3 linked regions of the Rhinolophus ferrumequinum genome follow. The protein of the gene in region 1 interacts with the protein of each later gene in a biochemical or structural test. Links are inferred from orthologs where the notes say so. Each region holds a gene or a part of one and is shown in the gene's direction. Other genes may lie near its edges.

Region 1 (7,725 bases):
CAAGGGGCCCTTCCTTCTCGCCTCCAGGCCGCACCTTCCCCAGGCCCCGGCCCGAGCCTGGCTCTGAGCTCCAGAGTCCCAGCGGCCCGGACGCGCACCTGCGGGGCCTATCGGCTGCTCTGTCCTCCATGCGAACAACGTGGGGTCTCCCGAGGCCCGGCCCCCCCGCCCCGCGCCGCCCGGCCGACCCCCGGCCCTCAGGGCCTCAGGCTCGCGCCACCCCAGCCGGCTGCCTCTCACCCTCCACCTTCACGTCCCCGTTACTACTTCTCCGATGTCACCTGCGGCCCACCTGCCGAGCACGTGCTCACCTGCAGGACCTCCTTCACCGCCGGCCGCGCGCGAGGCCCAGGAGGCGGCGGGACTCAGCCTGAGGCCTGCGCTCCGGCGACCGCGAGCCAACGCCCTCAGGCTCCGGCACTAGGGCCCCGCCGCCCGGGCCTCGTCACTTCCCTGGTCTGGGCCTCAGTTTCCCAAGAAGACGTGGGCCAGCTGACCCTCGGGCTGCCGTCCCGCCCGGCTGGCTCTGCGGCCAGTTCTCCCCGGGCTGCACGGCGCCCGCCGCCCCGGGACCGCTGCTGTCGGCCATGTTGACGCGCGGGGCGCGGGGACGCACACGCTGCAGCCGGAGCGCAGCCCCGCGGAGTGGCCGTGGGGCGCGGAGGGGCCCGAGGCTCCCGCCCGCTCGGCCCCTTCGCTTTGGGATGCGAAACGCTTTGCGGTGAGCGCCGGCACCTGGCAGCCCAGGTCAGCCCCGCTGTGAGGTCAGCGGGGCGAAAGGTGCAGGGAGTCAGAGGGTGTGTGTGCACGGAGGGAGCAGGGGGAGCGGGGCGCAGGTGTGGGCCCGGCACTGGGAGGACCGCGTGCCCGTGAGAGCGGCCTGCGCACACGGGCTGGGGGCGCGCGGCCAGGGGCCCCAGCGGTGGGGGGGCCTCCATCGGAGGGAGCAGGACGGCCGGGGCGGCTTCAGGGGCCGGCCGTGTGCCAGGCCAGTGGGGTGGGGATTAGGACTTGACGCCCTGCTGTCAGGTTAGAGCTGATGGATCGCCGCTGCTGGGAGCACAAAGGCCGCTCTGTGCGGCACCAATGTGTCCCCATCCATCAGACGGCAGCCTGTGGGGGGTGCAGTGTGCACGGGGACCAGAGCCAGGCCCCCAGGTGCCGCTTCTCCACAGCTCGGCTCGGAGAGAGGAACAAAGTGGCTGAAGGGACATCCCCACATCAGGGTTTTGAGGTCAGAGACACCTGGGCTGCCCTATCTCCTCAGTCCTGGGAGGGCCTGTGCCCCAGAGCTAGACCTTGACATGGTCCCCAAGTCACTTACTCAGACAGATGGAAACAAACACTTGGCCAGACAAGGTTTCACTGAAACCCCGACACACAAGGTCACCCTCACCTCCAGCCCACAATCTTGTTTGGTCAGAGACAAAGGTCACACAGACAGAAGGCCTCGCTCACCTGAGCTGAGGCAGGGGCTGTGCCCAGGCTGGTGGGGGCCCAGGGCCTGCAGAGGGCTCCGGGGATGGTGGTGTCCCTGGGGCACACCAGTGCCCTCCCCGCCTCCTCTTCCAGCACCTGGGGGAGCCGCCCTGTGCATCTTCCCTGCTCACAGCCAGCACTGCACACGGAAGAGCACACCTTACTCAGGACACCAACCCGCAGCCATGCTCATAGCAATACATGCTTCTAGGGTAAAAGAGGGAATGAATCGACACACAGACCATACACACCACACACCTCACACCACACCTCGCACCTCACACTACACCTCACACCTCACACCACACCTCATACCTTACACCACACACCACAACACACACCACACCTCACACCACAACCACACACTTCACACCACAACCTGACACCACACACCACACCACACTTCACACCACACACCACACCACACCACACCTCACACCACACCACACCTCACACCACACACCTCACACCTCACACACCTCACACTTCACACCACACCTCACACCACACACCATACCACACCTCACACCACACACCACACCTCACACCACACCACATACCACACCTCACACCTCACACACCTCACACCACACCTTATACCACACACTACACACCTCACACCACACCACACTTCACACCTCACACCACACAAACCACACTTTACACCATATACCTCACATACCTTGCACACCTCATACCATACACCACACAGACCACACACCTCACACCACACACCTCACACCCCCCACACCACCATACCACCCCTTTGCCAGCTGAAATGCGTGTCCTCTCCTGGTATAACCCTCCTGCTGCCCAAGTAGGTTCAGACTCAGCGTCTGGCTCTGGAAATGCAGCCATGGTCCTCTGTGTGGCCTCCTTGCCTCAGCTGTCACGTCCCCCCATGGCCCACAGGCCTCCTCCTGTCTTTGCAGGCTCATCCTGAGCCCTGAATCCCTACATACCTGGGACCCAATGCCCCCTTCCCCTTGCTCCCCCTCTCGTCCAGGCCCCAGGCTTCCCTGGATCCAGCCCAGTGCACCTTCTGCACAGCCCGACCTCCAGAGCGTCTGACTCTCCACAAGCCCCTGACACACCTGTCTGATGAACCCACTCATTTGCAGCTGATCACAACTCCCATGTTTGCTGCTGACTTCGAATGACTCTCTGTAGAATGGTGACTTAATGTTCACGTTTGCGTCCAGGCTCGCCATCTAGCTGATAAGATCCTGAAAATCCTCATGGAACAAGCCTGGTTCTCCTGCCCCCACTTCTAGAGGATGTGGACATGCCGTTTGGAGGTAAGGCAGATTGGGTCCCCAAAGAACAAAACGATGCAATTTCTGGGTTCCCATAGTAACTTCAACATCACTTTTATCTCAGGGCTCACAGGATTAGGGTGTAAACTGAGGCAAACTTTTCTTTCTCTCTTGTCTTTTTTGGGGGGGATCTTAAGTCCAGATGATCAGGGTCCAACCAAGCTTTAGAACCCACAGCTCCCGTGTTGTGAGCTGTGGTTTTTATCACACTCATGAGGCCAAATGAAGACCTCACTGCCCCCCTCAGCACGTTTAGTGTCCAGCTGTGTCTCCTCCCCCCCACCCTAAAAGGACCAGCATTTTCCTGGCTCCTCCCCATAGACAATGAGAAGAAGGAAAGCCGGGCCCTTCTCGCTCCCTTCAGACCTCAGCTCCCCTGTGACATCTCCCCTGCGCAGCTCCTCTTCCTCTCTTATCCTTGCCACTCTTTGGCACTGACAGCACCAGTCTCATCTGTCATCGGAGGAGGGGTCAGAATTAGTGCATGGGGTCCTAGAAAAAAAATCGGGACCAAAGGATAAAGGGCAGAAGAGGCAGATTGCACTTTGAAACCCACAAGGCCTCCCTTCAGCCAGTGCGTCCATGGAAAGGGCTGCCCTATGAGGTCAGCAGAAGCTGGACAGTGGCCACTGGGGCAGGGGGTTGGATAGAACTAGATGACTGGCAGGTCTACCAGATGGCAATGTCCTGGAGGGCAGAGACCCTGCCTTGGGCACTCCTGTCACCTTTTGGCCCTCAGACGAGCCTTGTGCACTGCTGGTCCCTGAGGCCAGCCTACTGCGTGGAGAGCGCTAGTCGTCTTGGACCCCAAGGCCTTTGTTGACAGGTGACCACAGACTGAGGAGTCCAGAGATTAAGTCGTCCCTCCTCCACCCGATGTGTGAGACGTGCAGGATGCGTGTCAAACTGATGTCTCCGACAGGAAGACGCAGAACCAATCCCGGTGGCCGAGAAGAGGGGAGAGTTACTGAGTTTGAAGGGCTCTGTCTCCACGCACAGTGAGGAGTCAGGAAAATCCTGGCATCGGGGTGGGGCAGGAAACAGTCGAGGAGGCAACATAGGAGGACAGATGAGGATCCAGAATGCGAAGGACGTGGCAGAGGGCTGACTAGATCTCGACCTGGCCACGGTGGGGACAGCGGCAACGCGTAGGCTTCCGTGACCCTGATGGCATATTAAAGAGAAAACTGCCACTAACCCCCATGAAAGAACAAGACCAAAAATGTCCTCTTGCCTCGATGTAACCCCAGTCACGTGAGACCTAAGAGACATACGATGTCAAAGCTGTGTTGGAAACCCAGTGTCGACCCTCCTGCCCCTGGACACTGACCCGCACGTGCCCCACATTTGCAGCAGCCTTGCCCTTTGGCAGAGGGTCATGTGACTGCCAGAGTCTGGTTCAAGTCTGTGAGGAGGCAGGGGGCCGGACAGGTTGACCTAAGACCCCTTGCAGCCTAAACGCACCCCTTCCTTGCCCCCCACCCTGCTTCTTTGGGACCACAAAGAGAGAGCAGGCAGCCCCCCACCAGGAGTAATTGAAAGGAGCAGATGAGAGGAGAATGTGTGTCTCCCCCCACCTCCCCTGCCCCATGGGGGCTGCCGAGAAATGAAAACTAATCAAGTTACAACGGACGGCCTCCCTGCCCGTGCACAGGAGCCGGCCGGCCGGCCCGGGCAGGCTGGCCAGGAGGGGTGGGGGCCGGGCCGAGAGAAGGGAATTGCATCTAATCCGCTGTGAACTCTTGATGTGCAGCAACAGCTTAGAGGGGCTCGGGTTTCCGTGGCGTTGGCTATATTTATCTCTGGTTCCATGCCAGCGGGGAGGGTTTAAATGGCACCTAACAGTTGGCGTGAGGGGCTGCAGGAGCTCGGGGGCTGGTGGCAGGAACAAGCCTCTTCCGACCCCATGGAGCTGTACGAGACACCCCCCTACTTCTACCAGGAACCCCACTTCTACGACGGGGAAAACTACCTGCCCATCCACCTCCAGGGCTTTGAGCCGCCGTGCTATGAGCGGACTGAGCTCAGCCTGAGCCCTGAGGCTCGAGGGCCCCTCGAAGACAAGGGTCTGGGGACCCCGGATCACTGCCCGGGCCAGTGCCTGCCGTGGGCGTGTAAGGTGTGTAAGAGGAAGTCGGTGTCCGTGGACCGGCGGCGGGCGGCCACGCTGAGGGAGAAGCGCAGGCTCAAGAAGGTGAACGAGGCCTTTGAGGCTCTGAAGAGAAGCACCCTCCTGAACCCCAACCAGCGGCTGCCCAAGGTGGAGATCCTGCGTGGCGCCATCCAGTACATCGAGCGCCTGCAGGCCCTGCTCAGCTCCCTCAGCCAGGAGGAGCGTGAGCTGCGCTACCACCGGGGAGGCGGCGGGCCCCCACCAGGGGTAAGTGGCTCCCACCGCCCGCCCAGGGAGGGCACCCCATGGGGAGGCTGGGTCGGCTGTGAGAGCAGGTGCCAGGCAGGCACTGTCAGAACTGGGCTGTCCCGCTGACCTCCCACCGTGTCCCCGTGTCCTTTCCAGAGGAGACAGAGGCAGCGGGAGGAGAGGCAGTGGTGGGGGTGGGTGGCAGAAAACTGAAGGCGCAAGACCAGAGCCAGCCGGGGTGGAGGTGAGAATTCGTGCCAGTGCCTGGGGACGCGCCCCAAAGGCCAGGCCAGGCACACAGAGGACGCAGTGCGTGGCTCTGCCCCCACCGGGCCCCGCCCTGGGTGGGGCTCAGCGGAGAGAAGCAGTGTCTCCTGGAGCCCCAGCAGCTGCTCAGATGAGGCTCTGCTGGGGCCAGACACTCTGCCCCCTCCACCCTGTCCCAGGGACAGAAGCACAGACCCCTGGAGCTGGTGTCCAGTGAGGGCAGAATCCCCACCCAGGACGGAGGCCAGGGCAGGCCTGGAAGCAGGGGCTCTGTGGCCAGGCGGGGCCATGAAAGGAGCTGCTTGTGAAGACTCCAGGTGGGGGTGGGGGTGGCCCAGGAGTCTCAGCTCCCTGGGATTGGACAGAAGACACCACCAGGCACAGGGGGCCTGACCTTCGCCTTCGCCACCTCGCAGGTGCCCAGTGAATGCAGCTCCCACAGCGCCTCCTGCAGTCCAGAGTGGGGCAGCACACTGGAGTTCGGCCCCAACGCAGGTGGTAAGTGTGTTGGGACCCGGCTGACCTTGGCTCCAACCCTTGAGCCTGGCTCCAGGCACAACTGTCCCCTTACTTTGTTCCCTGCTCCAGTCTTCCTCCCTTGGCCTCTCCAGGGACCTGCTGAGCCCAGGGCCCCAAATGGTGGACTGGGCGGTCCTGTGCCTCCCTGAAGTCTGGACCAGGCCAAAGCAGCCCCAGCCTCCTGCTGCTCCCCATCTGGTGGCTGGTGGCTCATCTCCACGGGCAGGAGACAGTCCCTGCCCCAGGGTTCCCTGGGAATCACTGAGTCAGTGCCACACAGCTGGGCCTGCAAGGGCAGTCCGTCTCCCAGGAAACACCATCCTGGCCCCACCTCCACCTGCCACACAGTTGGAACAGCGGCTTGCAGGTCCCAATCCCACTAGGGGTGTCCGGGGGGGGGCATGGTACTTATGCACACGGCCGGGAAAGGCAAGGGCTGGCAGTGGGGCTCCTTACGCTTGCTCATCTCATTCTGGGTCCTGGAACCCCCTGCACTGCCCGGGGAACAGCCTCCACCTTCTCCCTACAGACCACCTGCTCACAGCTGACCCCACAGACGCTCACAGCCTGCACTCCCTCACCTCCATTGTGGATGGCATCACGGTGGAGGACGTCTCTGTGGCCTTCCCAGACGAAACCATGCCCAACTGAGATTGTCTGCCAGGCCGGGCATCCGGGAGGGCCCCCCAGCTGGCCACAGATGCCACCACGTGGGCAGCAGGAGCCTCCTTAGCCCGGCTGTCCTGATGCCAGGAAGCCAGCCGTGGGGCTGCCAAATGCCAGCCTTCCCCCTCATCTACAGAAGGTTCACCCTCCGCCCAGAGAGGGAACGGACGTTCTCACTTAGCTGACTCCACAGAGCACCGGCACCCCATTTCCAGGAAGCTAAGGCAGGGGACCAGAGCGCCCCTCGTGTACGCCCCTGGCCGGGGGCCAACTCAGGACCTGCGCGCTGATCACAGCACAGCCCCCAGCTCCACTCCCCCAGGATCTCAGAGACGACGTCAGTGTCCTGCCCTGGACGAGTTGTGCACACCTCCTGTCCCCATCTCTTCCTGATGCCAGTGGCTGGGCTGGGCCTGCCCTCAAGTGAGAGAGAAGAAAGGGACAATCCCCTGTTCCCAAGTCCCTGGGGGCCAAGCTTCTGCAGTGACTACTGGGAAGCTTCCCGTGCTTTCATGTTCTGTTTTGTTTTGTGTGTTGTTTGTAAAGCTGCCATCTGACCAAGGTGTCCTGTTCGAAGTTGCCAGGGACAGGTGGGGGTGGGGGGTGTCTGGGGGTGATTTCTTTTGTTAACTAAGCATCGTGTGGTTTTGCAATTGTTTTGTAATTTGTTTTTTGCTAACTTATTTGGATTTCCTTTTTTAAAAAATGAATAAAGACTGGGTGCTAGAAGAGTGTCGTGATGATGTAGAGGGAGGGGGTCCTCCCCCCAGTCCAAACGCTCCCCAGGGCCGGGCATCCAAGGGCTGGCACTGGTGGGGCGCTGGGCCCCTGCTCTTTCTACCCTTCAGAGGAAGCCTTGCCCACAGAAACCCTGTGGGACACACAGGCAAGCCGGCTGAGTGTCCACTGCACTCTGTCTCACGGACCTGCTCACTGCGTCTTACGTCCCAACAGGTCCTCCAAGGACCCGACCACGCTCACGTGCCATCCTCGGCGAGTGGGCAGGGTGGAGCTGGAATCGGGGGTTTCCCCTCGCCTCCCGCCACTCCTCGTATGACACTACCAGGAGGAGCCCTGCAGGGCAGTGGGCTCAGACACTGTCACTGTCTCGCAGGC
Region 2 (7,602 bases), on another chromosome or scaffold:
TATTATCTCATTATTATTTCATTATCTCATGTAATCGCCACAACTACTCTGTTAGCCAGATGTTACTGTTCTCATTTCATAGATTAGGAAGCAGGCCCAGGGAGGCCAGGTAGTTTCCCCAAGGTCACACAGCAAGGAACTGAGCCACTTACTTGATATACAGTGTGTTACATCCTTCAGGTGTGTTGGACTGGAAAAAAAAAGAAATTTTTCTAGAGCAGTGTTTTTCAAACTGTGGGTTGCAACCAGCGTTTTAAAAACATGAAACGTGATAGAAACTATCAGAGTATATTGTATACCTTAAGGGTAAGTATTCTTTTACAAAATGTTGGTAACATTTGATACATGTTTGTGTATACTGGGTTACATAGTAGTCAGCGATTGGGGTGGTGATCCTGCATAATAACCCCCAAATCTCAGTCACTGACAACAATTTATTTTTCTCCCTCATGGATCTGCAGATTGGTGAGGTTCAGCTGATCTTGGCTGGACCTCGCTGAGTTCAGCTGGGGTTGGCTCCAGGCTGTAGGACTAGTTTGGGTCTATTCTACTGGTCTCAGCGCATACTCTCGTGCGGGGGAAGCAGCACAAGAGGTCAAGGCAAATCACACAGGCACATTTAAAACCACAAGTCTGTTAACATTTTATTGGCCAAAGCATGTCACATGTCAAAACGCAGCAACAGCAGTAGTAGGTTCTGCAAAGTCACATGGCAAAGGGTGTGGCTGTTTAATTCCAACACTGAGTGTGAAGAATTGGGAGCAAAAATCGAATTCACCACAGGTTGCGATGTAACAATGATTTCTTAACATGGGTTGCACTTGGAAGAACTGGGGAGGCACTGCTCTAGGTCATTAATCCCTGATCCTTTTCTCACTCGTGGTCTTGCTTGATCACACTGCAGCAGCCAACATTGCTGGCCACAGCTGCCTTTGCAGACTCCCCTCTCTTGACTTGGATGATGGTATGTATGCCGTGTTCCCCTCCTTTGACCAGGCCAGCCCCAGCTGAGGCTTCCTTCTTCTGCGTGCCCCAGAGATTGTTGTTCTCTTGAATTCTGTCCTTGGCCTTCCTCTCTCTACAGTCTCCCCTGCAGGACTCTCATCTCTCCTCACGTGGCTTTAATTGGCCCTGTAGTGTGGATAGTTCCTTCCCAAAGTATTAGCTGCAGTTCCAGCCTCCGCCTCAAGCTCCAGACACACACTCCCCATTTCCTACAGGACATTTTCCTCTGTTTGTTGCCGTAGGCCCAAATTGAATTTCTCTCTCTCTCTCAAACCTGTTCCTCTAGCCAAGTTCCCTCTTTCCAGGAATGGTACCAGTGTTTGGAGGATAGTCACCCTTACTCAAAATCTCAGTCCATCATGAGTCTTCTCTGTGGATCCCGCTCCCCATCCAGTCCGTCACCAAGACCCATGTATTGGACCTCTGCCCTGTTTATAGCTTTGCTTTAAGAGTCAAAAAATGTATGAAAGTAATACTGATTATGGAAGAAGTCAAATGGTACAGATTTCTATCTAAGCAAAGAACACACTCCTCTAGTCCCCAAACTCCTCTCCAGTGGCTGCTTACCACTATTAGTGTTCAGAGCATGGCTTTCCAGATTTTTCCTAGGCACACTGATGCATGACCCCTTTTCTCTTTTTTTTAAAAAGTTTATTGGGATGACAATTGTTCATGACCCCTTTTCCTTTCCATTCCCTGTAATGCTGCTATCACAGTCGAGAGCTCTTCTATGTCAAGTTAAGAATAACTGCATAAAGGTTAACTACAAATGAAAATAGTTTTAGAGTGTTGGTAATTTCTTTATAGTCATTTTTAAAAGCAATCCATAGTTTTTGTTGCGATATTATTTAGGTGATAACAATCAGGAGAAGGAAATGAAGGTCAGGGTGGGATCTGGCTGGAATTCCGCTGCCCTTCTGGAGGTAGTGCATGATCTGGGGTGGATGTGAGCTCCCATCTTCCAGGGGACGACTGTGATTTAGGCCTTATCTGAGAAGCACCAAACTCACATTCCAGAGAGGCCAGGCAGGGGACTTATCTGAGCTCAATGGGCTGTAGGGAATCTAGTGAACTTGAGAGCAGATGCCTCTTCTATGGCCACCATTCACCTCAGCGCTAGGCTGTCGTTCTGTGGGTACATAGGCCTGGAGTGGCTAAAAATTCCAATTTTTTGAGAGAGACTGGATATTCAGATTTTTATGTAAAATCTGATTTAAAGATATTATACGGTCCAAACAAAACACATCGATGAACCAGTGTCTGATTTTGACTTCATCCACATCCAACAGTTTCGGCTCTGGAACCACAGTAATCCAATATAGTGTGGGTATAGGTCCCCTCCCCACCCCTACTCCCCAGTGGTGACAAAGAGCTGTGAAGATGATGCCATCCCAAGCAGGTGAAGGTGCTGTGGCACTAACACTGGTGTGCAATGGCCCAAGGGTTGGGTGAAATCAGAGAGAGAGCAGCCTATTTGAAGGGAAGCTGAGAACTGTTCTCTACCCTGTAGATGCAGCAGGCAGCAGTTGTCCCCTGGGGTGCCACTGCTGAGGGGGCCTTTAAGCTAGGGGTCTCACACATAAAAGTCTTTAGAAGCCAGGCAGGAATGGACCCCAGGGCTGTGGTTGTAAGACTGTGCTGCTCAGACAAATCACGGTCCCAAGTACCAACTGTGGCCCCCGAAGCCCTTCTGGAACCTATTTATCTATTTGACCTGTCCTTTCTCTTGGGCTAACACATTCCATATGTTTAACTACCTGTTGTGTGGACTAAATTAGGAAAAGAAAAAAACTCTTTAAAACTGTTGGAAAATGGGGAAGAGGAAGGCTCTTAATTCCTGTATTTTGATGAATAAGCCCATTTTTTAATATAGGTGTGTATATTATATATATATATATATTATATACACACACATATCACAAATCACTTGAACATACTTTATTTCAGTATTTCTCAGTCTTTGGATTGTGACTCACAGTAAGATAGGCAGTTGACATTGCCATCCAGTACACAAATATGTAGAACCATGTGAAATTTACACTAACCCACCCTTTTTACCTATAAAATGGAAGTTTTATATCGTTTACCTGGAAATAATTCAAACAATTTTTATGCAACAATATTTACGCTTGCTTTTTGTGATACCCATTAATTTATTTTAAATGCCGGTTGCAGTACACTAAATTGATTTCACTACCACTTCATCTTCCCAACAATTTTTAAGGTAGGAATCATTACCCTCTCCCATCCTATTAAACACCAGAGTTTGTTTATCCCATGAATGAGGTGATTGTCCCAGGTAGCTCCTATTAACTATTCACTGACCACTTACATACTCCGCGCTTTAGTCTGTATCTCATTTAATCTGCCTTAAGAATCCCGTGGGATAGGTACCAACAATGAGGAACATGGCGTTTGGAGAGCTCAACACTTATTTCCAGCACAGGGCTAGGAAGAAGCAGATTCCAGATTTGAATAATTTCTGTAAGAGCACAGCCCAAGCTATTTTCACAGACTTGGAGCTCAGATCCAGACCTAGACCCTGAACCTGGCCTTTTCGGCACCCTAGTTTTTTTTATCCTGTGGGCTTTCCTTGGCTTTCCAGAGAAGGGCGCGCGCGCGCATGTTTGCGTTTGCTTGCTTAAACTTTCTCCTCGGCTACACTTTTTCCCAGGCCTTTGCACCGACTGAAGGGTGGGCTTTCTCCCTGGAACCACCCCCTCCCCCAGCCCAGCGCGCAGCTGGAAGTCTTCACTGATCTCCAGCTCTTCTCCCTTCCCCCAACTGGGACGCGGAGGCCGACTGTCTCTCCGGTCTTTTCCAGATGTACGTCTGCCAGAGACCTACCCAGTATAGAGGATGATGAATGAGGACCGGGGAGCCGGCCTGGTGGGAAAGTGTCGCCTTTAAAAGAGAGGGAAAGGGAAAGGAAGTCGGGGGGGAGGGGAAGGGTTGCAGCCGAGTGGCGGGGGCGCGACGAGTCTGGACATCAGGGACCCAAGCCCCCGCTACTTCCGCGAGTAACTTTGCCTCCCTCAGGAAGGAGTGGGTGAGTGCTCCAATCCCCGCACTCCTTTGGAATTTGGGCTGTATTATATCATTTACTGCCGTCCGCACATTCCACTCAGGAACTACCCCAGTGTTTGCTTCCAGCCCTTCCAAAGCCCAGTTCCCAGTGCGGCTCCCTCTTCTCCGCAAGATTGCGCTCCAGTCTCCTCCTAGGCTTCCTCTCCGCAGGTCCCTCCCAATTCTCTCTGGTAGGGGGGCGGAGTCGTACCTCCTCTCCTGTTCCTTTAAGAGGCGTCGGCTCCTCCCCTTTCGGAGTCGCCCGCTGACGCGGGATGACTGCAACGAGTTCGGTATGTCTATGCAAATAGGCGCCCCCTATGGGCCAATAGGGAGCGGAGTTGCCGGAACAGCGGACCAATGGGGCGGGAACGCAGGGGCTCACCATATAAGGAGCGGCCTCGCCATAAAAGGAAACATTGTATCTCTTTATATGGGGGGAAGGGTCGGGGGATCCCTCGCCGCCTGCGCGTGGTCCCGGCCCCCTCCACCCGCCGTCCCCGCCGCGGCCAGCAGCCTCTGCCCCCGGGGGGACGCTGACGGCCGCCGGGCGCGCCGCCGTAGCATACGGACAGGGGGCGCTCCGCGCAGCCTGGGGCAACCCGGGCCACAGGGGCAGGAAAGTGAGGGCCCAGGTCGGCCGGGGCGTGCAGGGGCCCCGGGTTCGCAGCGGCGGCGGCGGCAGCGATAGCGGCACTAGCAGCAGCGGGAGCGCCGGGTTGAGCCGGGAAGCCGATGGCGGCGGCGGCGGCGGCTCCGATTCCTCGCTGACTGCCCGTCCGCCCTCCTGCATTGAGCGCCATGTTACCGAGCCAAGCTGGGGCCGCGGCGGCGCTGGGCCGGGGCTCGGCCTTGGGGGGCAGCCTGAATCGGACCCCGACGGGGCGGCCCGCTGGTGGTGGCGGTGGCGGCGGCGGGACTCGCGGGGCTAACGGGGGCCGGGTCCCCGGGAACGGCGCGGGGCTCGGGCCCGGTCGCTTCGAGCGGGAGGCTGCAGTAGCAGCGACAACCACCCCGGCGCCCACCGCGGGGGCCCTCTACAGCGGCAGCGAGGGCGACTCGGAGTCGGGCGAGGAGGAGGAGCTGGGCGCGGAGCGGCGCGGCCTGAAGCGAAGCCTGGGCGACATGGAGATCGGCATGGTGGTCAGTGGGCCCGAGGCGGCGGCAGCAGCCACCGGGGGCTATGGGCCGGTGAGCGGCGCGGTGAGCGGGGCCAAGCCGGGTAAGAAGACTCGCGGCCGCGTGAAGATCAAGATGGAGTTCATCGACAACAAGCTGCGGCGCTACACGACCTTCAGCAAGAGGAAGACGGGCATCATGAAGAAGGTACCGGACCGGGAGTCTGGCGGACCGTGGGGTACCGGGAGGGTGGGGACTCGCAGGGGGAACTGGAGAGGAAGGCAGAGCCGAAGCGGAGGTGAGAGGCGGCGAGTCCGCAGGAGGTGTGTGGGAGGGGATGACTGTTACCCGGGTAGGGTGAAAGGGGAGGGGCCGCCAGGGAAATGTGGGGAGAGGGGAGATGCTGCTAACGTCCGGAAAAGAGGGTAAAGGCGCCAAGGTGGGAGTGACGGGGCCGAGAGAGGAACAGAGCCCTTGCAGAGTGTGAAGGGGTGAGGAAAGGTAATGAGACTGCGAGGCTGCCCCGGGGGTGCTTAACGAAACCCCTCGGTCAGTAGGTCCAGTGGGCTCTGGTGTTCTGGGAAGGGCGCTGGAAAAGCTGGTAGCAGAAGAAAAGGTATGGAGGTGAGGAGGCTGGAGCAGTATAACAACAATGAGCGAGCATGTGTGGGAGGAAGGTGGGCACTACTGAAGTAGTGCTGGCTGGAAGGACAGGAGGGCTGATGACGGAATGGGGCTCAAGAGCCCCAGGTAAGGGAGCAGGGCAGGATAACTGATGGTGCCCTGAGCAGCAGGTACCAAACCAAGTCCTGCTATGGCCATGCATCTTCCATGCATCCCCTGGAAGCCCGCACACTCCCTGCAGGACAGGCTTCAGAATCATCTGTCTTTCGGACAAGTGGCATTTCCAGCCCTAGGGAGAATTGGTGCATGGAGTTTCGTGGGAAGGCAGGGAGTTTGCTGAGGTATGTAGAGGTATCCTCCTCTTATATAGCCGATTATCCAGTGGAAAGGGGTGAGGAAAAGAGTTGTCTTAGGGTGTATAAGATGTGGGAAGGCATGGAAGCAAAGGAACTGGGAAACAAGAAGCTAGAACCCTGGGAACATTGGCTGGTGTTTATCTGTCCCATACAGAAATCAGAGCTGCTTCCAAGGTGGGTTGTGGAACTTTGTTGGGAATGAGGATGCCATCTATGGGGTCCCCTTCCTGAGTTCATGGCAGGGCAGTAGCTGCAAATCTAGCCCCCATCTCCCATCACTGCAGACATTGTTGTATCAAGACAAAGGAAGAAAAAAAAAGGGTAGCATACTATGATAGGGCAGAAGGACAAAATGGCAACAGGTTAGCACCTATGCAGTTTATGGGAAGAAACGGGGCATTTTAGAGCTTGGGTGGCCCCTTATCCCTAATGTCTTATATGATTTCCGGTATAGGAGTGAGTTCATACTGGTCCCGCTGACAGTGAGGAGGGGGTGGAAACCATCTGTCTGTGAGGGCACCAAGTTGTAGTGAGAAGCAGCTACCTGGGTCTCTGTGTCTCCTGAGGTTAGATGTCACCAGGGGGCTGTGATTGTTTGCTTGCGGTATCTGCAGGAGCTGCTCCAAAACATGGGGTTTTTCTGCTTTCCATCTCACTTTCAGATATCCTGATAGGACCCCCTTAGAATCACTGGAGAGGACGGTCTTATGGGAGTGGGGGCTTGAAATCACTGTGTATTTCCTCTCCTATTTCCCAAGGAAGGTAGAGGTGAAGAGTTTTGCTGACCTACCCGTCTCCTCCCCCTACCCCCAGGCCTATGAGCTGTCCACGCTGACAGGGACACAGGTGCTGTTGCTGGTGGCCAGTGAGACAGGCCATGTGTATACCTTTGCCACCCGCAAACTGCAGCCCATGATCACCAGTGAGACTGGCAAGGCCCTGATTCAGACCTGCCTCAACTCGCCAGACTCTCCACCCCGCTCAGACCCCACCACAGACCAGAGAATGAGTGCCACGGGCTTTGAAGAGACAGACCTCACCTACCAGGTGTCGGAGTCCGACAGCAGTGGGGAGACCAAGGTGTGTTTGCGTCCCCTATCAGGGGAAGGAAGGGGAGGGACTGGACTGGCAGAGGGAAGGGGAGGGGGGTCTCTCTCTCTCTCCCTCACCAAGGACAGGTGCTAAGTGCCCACTGATGTGGAGTGGAGCCCGGTTAGTACCCCTCATCCTAGGGGACAGGTGTCCATCCTCGCTATCCTGACAGGAGGCTGGCCCCCTAGATAAGCGGGCGGCCTCCGTGCCCATATAAGGCCGGCTCCGGCTCCACGCCGGCCTCCCGCCTGCAGCCCGCCTGCCTGGCAGGGCCCTTGCATTCCTCCCGCCAGCTGTCTCCCCGCTGGGGGCGGGGGCGTAGCTTAGCCCTACCCTCCCG
Region 3 (7,198 bases), on another chromosome or scaffold:
TTATCTCTCGAGGAAAAAGAAGCATCTTGATGCATTTAAGCATTGCATTTGCCCATTTCTCTGCCTTTCATGCATGAGACACATGACCAGGAGCAACCTCTGAGTGATAGTTTTAAATTAATTCTCTCTTTGAAATAAGAGCCAAGGGCAAATGTCAGACCACGGGTGCATAGACATAGTGAAAAGCCCTGGTTACTCTAAGAATGTGAGTGATATTGAATACATTAAGGTCCAGTCATGCTTCTTTTCAGAGAGGTTTGGATGAGCAGATGGAAGCTGAGATTCCCAGGCCTGTGAGTTCTTCTATGGCATATTCCCCCTTTGTATGGCATCGTTTATAGCACTGATTTCCAAAGTGGAAGGGGGACCAGCGCCTGAGGAAGCATGTGAAACAATACTGGAGAATGAGAAAATGAATTGGAACTTTTATTATATTTACTTTTATATTTGTAGCATATAGTCTTGCGTATGTTTCATAATGTATAATATTACAGTAATTTTTATAATTTATTTTAAAAATACACATATATACCTATGTATGTATATGTGTATATTGCTCAAAGATGTTTACTAACGGTCAAACAATTTTGGGAACCACTGTTGTAGAAGGGGTTTGGAGTCTGATCTGGTTTAAATTTCTCTGTCACCTGAGTGATCTGTGTTTCCCAATGACTTACCAGTTTTTAGTTATTCTAGAGGCATGAAGAGGAGAAAGCAGTGGATTCCAGTTCTGACATTGACATTGACTCATTGTTGACTCAACTGTGTGGCCTGGGAGGGGTTACTTAGCCTTCCTGAGTTGCATTTATTTCATTCCTCATTCGGACAATGGGTAAAATAATACCTTCTTTACCAAGTTTTTATGAGGATTAAATAGAATAATGTTTATTCTGATTTGGGGTATAAAAGTAGTGTTTTAAGGCATGGATTTAAGATTACCCTCATTGTCCCACTTCCCTCTCTTTTCTGAGCTTCTTTATGCCCTATATTTATCAATAGTTTACTCACTGATGGTTCTTCTGGGGGAACGATGGGACAGAAAGGGTGGGTTCCAGTTCTAATACTGTCATTTATTTACAGCTGAGTCAACATTCAGCTGATATCGACTGAGCACCCTGTTATGCATCCAACACATGCTTAATATTATCTGTTCGTCATAGAATCCAAAATGGACTTGCTTCATTTTTCAGAGGAAAAAGCTCTAAAGCAGTCCTAGGAGAACTTCTGTAAGAATGGAAACATGCTATATCTATGCTGTTCAGTGCGCAGGCACTAGCCAAGTGTGGGCATTTGGAATATGGCTGCTATGACTAAGGAACTGAATTTTTAATTTTCATTAATTTTAAATAATTTCACTATAAATAACTGTATGTGACTCCTGGCTCCTATATTGGACAGTACAACTCTAGAGACGGTTGAAGTAGCATTCAAGTGTTAGGCAAAATTAAAACTGTCATGGGCTGAATTGTGTTTCCCCCATATTCATATACTGAAGTCCTAAACCCCAGTAACTCACAATGTGACTGTATGTAAAGACAGTTCCTTTAAAAGCAAAATAAGGTCATGTGAATGGGCCATAATCCATCATGACCAGTGTCCTTAGAAGAAGAGATTAGGACACAGATACCAGAGGAGGAAGACCTTACGAAAGCGTGTGGAGAACATGGACATCTACAAGCCAAAGAGAGAGGCCCCAGAAGAAACCAGCCCTGCTGATACTTGGGTCTTGGACTTCTAGCCTCCGAAAGTGTGCGAAAATAAATCTCTGTTGTTTAAGCCACCCAGTGTACGGTGTTTGTTATGGCAGTCTAGCAAATTAATAGGAAGACCTTTCCAATGGTGTGAGATTTTTGTTCATTTCCAGCAGACTCTTTCAATTAATTCATTAAGAATCCATTCTCTCTCTTTCTCTCTCTCACTTAAAAATGTAAGATACAAAAATCATACAAGAAATAGTAATTGAATGAAGAAAGCAGTCAACTTTATAATTAGGTTTAAATAACTACAGATGCATAATGAGCAAACCTAATTACAACCTGGAACTAAAATCCCAGATGATCCACACATGGGGGGTGGTGGGCAGGTGTGTAATTACAAGGTCAAGGTGAAGGAAGAGGGCAACGTGATGATGGTGAAAGTGTGCTGAGGTTCTGTAAGTTTCTCATTTCACGGAAGAAAACAGAAAATGGCTACCAATTAAATCTATATGTTAATAAAAACATATATTCATTGTGGCATTAGTTTATAAACTAGAGGAAGAGAATCTTCTCTAACTCATAAGAGAAAAACACAGCACAAAGTAAACTATTATTAGAAGGCCAGAAAAGAAAAAAGAACCGTTATAAAAATAAAACATAAAATAAGATGAAAGGAATAAGTCCATATGTATCCAAAATCACAATAAATGTGAATGAACTAAAATCCCCTTTTAAAAGATGACTCAAGTTAGTAAAACCGAAAATATTGTCAGTTATTAACTCTGGAAAGGAGAGTAGGATTGTGGGAGGGCACTTGTACATTTTACCTTAAATACATCATTATTGTTTAGTCTTTCACAGTAAAAGTGCATTCCTGTGTTACTTGTGTAACTAGAAAACATTTTTTAAGTGTCAGACACATCAGTCAAACCCAGATTTCTGGCTCCAGAAATAATTCTGTTGTATACATTGCATCTCCCCTTGAGCAAATAAATCTCTTCTGTGGACCTTAATATCTGTATGTATAAAATAAAAGTGGTGGGCCATACTTATGACTTTAAAATTTTGTTCCTAAAAAGTATTTTAGAAGCCACTTTGTGGGTTCAGGCAAAGGCTATGTGAGTGACTACTAGACCCCCTGTTTATTTCAAGCATGGAAATCCTTTTATCTGCTTTATATATTGATGTTCCATTTAATATCTATAGAAAAAAGTATTATCATTTTTAAAAAAAAAAAAACATGAAATTTGAAAGCTGCTATCCTAGGAGACTTCTAAAGTCCCTTCTAAATTTAACATTCTAGAGTATTCACTATTTTCCTTTGCAATAATACATTTTTGCAACGCATAGGCCAAGGATATCTCATAGGAGGTTGGGCTGTGTCTATATTTGTGAAATTACCATGATCTCCTTTATAGTGAAATATTCCATTTCTCAACTCTTTTACTGTTTCCTGTGTGCGTGTAACTAAAGGGCTAATACGGCTGATTTGCAAGGCTGGATTTTATATCCCCCTCATGTAGGTATTTCCTACACCCAACCTCAGCGTTCAGGTCAACCCTAGTGGAAAGCACCTTCACCTGAGAGACAAATGACCTGAATTGCAATGTGGCTAAATTTCAATGTGGAATCTGCCAATGACTTATTGTCTGGCCTTGAACAAGTTAGCTGCCTCGGTTAGATCAGCCACAACATAAAGACTAACAAGAATTAGTCTATTAAATCTCCGAACTTCTTGTCAACTATCAAATTCTCTAATTCATGAGTCCTTGATGCTTGATCAAAGCCAAAAATATGTACAGACCAGGCAAAGAGAAATTAGACCTCCAAAGACAATGTGAGTTCACAGAGACTTATCAAGACTTGCCATACATACAATGCATTGTTATGTTAAATTCTTAAGTGGAGACAGATGATGAGCAAAGTAACTCAAAACTTTTGAGAGAAAACTGTTCTTCATAAGATGGCAGGCTGTGGAGTGACAGGACCCTGATGATCAGCTGACCTTTCTCCCCAAGCTTCTTTGAAGAGATTATCTAAGTATCGTTTCGGACACCCATCACTCTTATTTTTAGCTCTGAGTTCTCTTCACGAGTGTACTGACCTGTGGCTTGGAGTTCCAGAGGGCTCCCAGATAGGGCTCATGATTCATTTTCAGGTACCTCACGTTGATTTCCAGAAAGGTCAGGGGAGGAGCAGCCTGGAAAAATGATTTTAGACACAAAATTCTTTGTTCTTGTTCCTGTGCCAACCACTTGGTCAGAAATTTACCCGCCACAAATTGATCCCTTGTTGCCATGGGTGATTGGCAATTAAAACAGAACCCAAGCAATTTTGTTCTCCAAGGGCCTCACAGCTGGCGTGGGGGTGCGGGTGGGGGGGGGTGGAACAAAACTCAGGGCTTTGGTCACAGGCTATTTTCAGCCTCTGATAGCAGTTGTGTTTCTCGTGTCTCATTCCCCCTCTCCCCTCAGCCTCCCTCCCGCCCTTTCCTCCACAGGCCAAGGCTGGTGACGGCCTCCATATATTTAAAGAGGAGGAGAGTCCCCCTTTTCACTCAGTTGAGCTGACAGAGACCACCCAGGCAGGTAAGCGGAGCGAAGCAGGTGTTTGGGCTGTGGGTGGGCTGCTGGCTTGGTGGCTGGTTGGTACTATGAAAGGTCCCATAGAGTAAGGGTGCGTGTCACATCCCACATGCCATCCTCCATTCTGGTTCTATGTGAGGAGACTCAAGTTATGCCGGATTCTGATGTAGGCTTAGCAGTTGTTTCGAAAACTCCTAAAAGGGTGATTGACATTTGGGGGTTTGAGGGAACCTCACAGAGAAATGAGTACAGGATTATTTTTGGTCTAAAACTATTTTCATGGTGGAATGTTTCCTGTTGTTTGAGTCAAAAGACCTGCATTCTCAACCTAGAATTACATAATGAATGGATGTGTGACTTTGAGAAAGTTCTTGCCCTCATGTTCTTAGTCTTTTTTGCAAGGATCAATATGGATGTGGTAACATTTTTCTAAACTATAAAGTACTGCATAGTTACAAAGTGGCAAATAGAGACAATACAGCAGACTCCAGCTTTCCAGTGCTCAAAATACAAGGAGTCTATGCTATTCCAAAGTTATGAGTGAATGACTGACATTTTTACAGTTCACCATACACTGTCTTGCACATAGGAAATACTCATTCAAGTTTGTTAGTTTAAAGTGAATTTTATATCCCAAGGATGTTCAGCAACAGGCTTGCATTAATAATTTAAATTAATCAAAACAGGATCTGAAAAAGACATTGCTACCGTGTTTCCCCGAAAATAAGACCTAGCCAGACAATCAGCTCAAATGCGTCTTTTGGAGCAAAAATTAATGTAAGATCCGGTATTATATTATATTACATTACATTATATTACATATTATATTATATTATATTATATTATATTATATTATATTATATTATATTATATTATATTATATTATATTATACCGGGTCTTATAGTAAAATAAGACCAGGTCTTATATTAATTTTTGCTCCAAAAGATTCATTAGAGCTGATTGTCTGGCTAGGTCTTATTTTCTGGGAAACATGGTATGTTGAAAATCCATTAAAAGCTCTGTTTAGTGGGAGGGTAATTCCCAGCTGGGGATGAGGGGGTGATTCCCAGTATTTCCTCTAGATTTTAGTCCAGGATTTTTTTTTTTTTTTTTAAACATCCCAGTGAATGACAGGCATGAGTGTGACTGAGAATTGAGAAGTGGTTTTAAGGGGTGGTCTGAGCGGAGATGCTGTCCAAAGATCAAAGCTACCGCCTCTAATTTCTGTTCCCATCCCTGAGTTGGGACAGTGATTCACCCAAGAAGCAGAAGATAGATGAACCAGTTGGGAGAAAGCTTGTTTCTCTGCAGTACAATGCAATGAAATTCAGTGAGCTTGCATTGACCATCTCCTGTGTCTGGGCTGGGGAGGCCCAGGCAGCCCTAACACAACGCAGAGGAGAATGGGCATGAACAGCAGGAAGGGGGGGAAATAGAAATAGCCTGTGTCCTCAGGATATTATTTTGGGGGCTGAATCTCAATGTTGGGTACGTCCAATTAATCGCTGCTTAATGACCCAGAAAATGTAAGGGATTCTTCTTGCTTGGCTTTGGTTCCATTCTGAACCACCCGGTCCTTAAAATGAGCCCTGGCTACTGGCAGGGAGTGCCCCCGACCCCCAGGGCTCTGTGTCCTCTCCCGCCCAGGCAGACAGGTGATCTACAGCCCGCATGCACAGGCCATCCATTAGAGAAAGGGTAGGCAGGCCAGGGGGCAGGATGGAAAGAGAAACAGAGAGAAAGACTGAGGAAGAGTAAGCAGGATCATTCAACAGGCAAATCAGTAGCCACAATCCTATTGGCAAAAGTAGATACAGATTCTTGGTAGAATACAAATTCAGAAATCCTGGGAACCTGAAGAAAGAGATAGAAGAAAATAAAAAGCATCAGTCATAGAGGCAATTCAAATTCTCACTCTGACCATCACTTAACTTCTCTGAGTTTCCATTTTCTGAGCATTAAAATTAAGGTAATGCCATCTATCACAAAGGGATTTTTTAGAATCAAATGAGATAAAGTGTAGGAAAGTACTTCGTAAAGCTTAATAAAACTGTACAAATATGCAAGGCCTTTGGGAAAAGGCACAGGACCAAACCTGACAGACTGCAGGAGGATTTCTTGCTAAGTATGAGGGTGGTGACGATAAAAGTCCAGAGGTCAGAGTGAATAACAAGCCAATCGGGTGTTACATGATTAATTTGTTTTACAAGAGGAAGGATCCAGACTAGGAATATAATACACAGAAATACAACTCCTGCGGCAGGCAGACTTCCAATTACAAGCACGCTGCTCAGATGTCTGCGAATACCGTATCCAGGGTGGGGCTTCACGGACAGAGAGAAATGCGATGCCTTCAAATGTGAAAAACTGTAGTTATTCATTGCAGCAAAGAAAAGCAGGAAGGAAGACAATGATTGTCTCGAGGGCCGCGGAGGCTGGAAACCTACTCTGAGCCTGAATAAGAACCACATCATGGGAAAGGGTTAATCATGATCTGTTGGTTGTTTACTGACCTGTGAAGGCAGGAAACAATATTAGCTTATCTAACTGTCACAATGAGCCATGCTAGAAGTCATTCTTCGAGGAAGAAACAAAAGGTCAAGGAAACAAAATAATTGTTAAGGGTCACACACATGGCTAGAAAGTGACAGAGTCAGGTTGTAACCCTGGGTGCAATGTGATCTTTAAACACAAATTACAAAGGGCGAAATAGAACACAGTGAGTTTCTGAGAGTAAAAGTCAGCCACACTTCAGAGATAACTTAAGAAAAGATGTAATATGACCTGCATGTGACAGCCCTAGTGTAATGGGCAGACGTGCCTACCGTGTCTAAGTTTTAAAGGGATGAGAGCCAACACTTGGGTTTATTTCTGTGCTGAGAATAAGCAACCTATACTTCTCAGGCTTTGTGAAA

What was found.
Region 2: the proteins of MYOG (region 1) and SRF form a complex in vitro, tested with the Homo sapiens proteins (2 studies listed by BioGRID and IntAct). The link is inferred for Rhinolophus ferrumequinum from reciprocal best matches to the Homo sapiens genes MYOG and SRF.
Region 3: the proteins of MYOG (region 1) and CSRP3 form a complex in vitro, tested with the Homo sapiens proteins (2 studies listed by BioGRID and IntAct, with this or other methods). The link is inferred for Rhinolophus ferrumequinum from reciprocal best matches to the Homo sapiens genes MYOG and CSRP3.

Annotation. Positions count from the first base shown.
Region 1 is NC_046310.1:75,065-82,789, forward strand, and holds MYOG (myogenin), read left to right. Parts: upstream 1-4,626; coding exon 4,627-5,175; intron 5,176-5,840; coding exon 5,841-5,922; intron 5,923-6,472; coding exon 6,473-6,594; 3' UTR 6,595-7,185; downstream 7,186-7,725. Other genes in the region: PPFIA4 (liprin-alpha-4), read right to left, coding at 3,904-3,959. UniProt on the Homo sapiens protein: Acts as a transcriptional activator that promotes transcription of muscle-specific target genes and plays a role in muscle differentiation, cell cycle exit and muscle atrophy.
Region 2 is NC_046286.1:12,582,017-12,589,618, forward strand, and holds the start of SRF (serum response factor), read left to right. Parts: upstream 1-4,534; 5' UTR 4,535-4,872; coding exon 4,873-5,397; intron 5,398-6,983; coding exon 6,984-7,250; intron 7,251-7,602. UniProt on the Homo sapiens protein: SRF is a transcription factor that binds to the serum response element (SRE), a short sequence of dyad symmetry located 300 bp to the 5' of the site of transcription initiation of some genes (such as FOS).
Region 3 is NC_046294.1:35,019,493-35,026,690, forward strand, and holds the start of CSRP3 (cysteine and glycine-rich protein 3), read left to right. Parts: upstream 1-4,168; 5' UTR 4,169-4,285; intron 4,286-7,198. UniProt on the Homo sapiens protein: Positive regulator of myogenesis. Acts as a cofactor for myogenic bHLH transcription factors such as MYOD1, and probably MYOG and MYF6.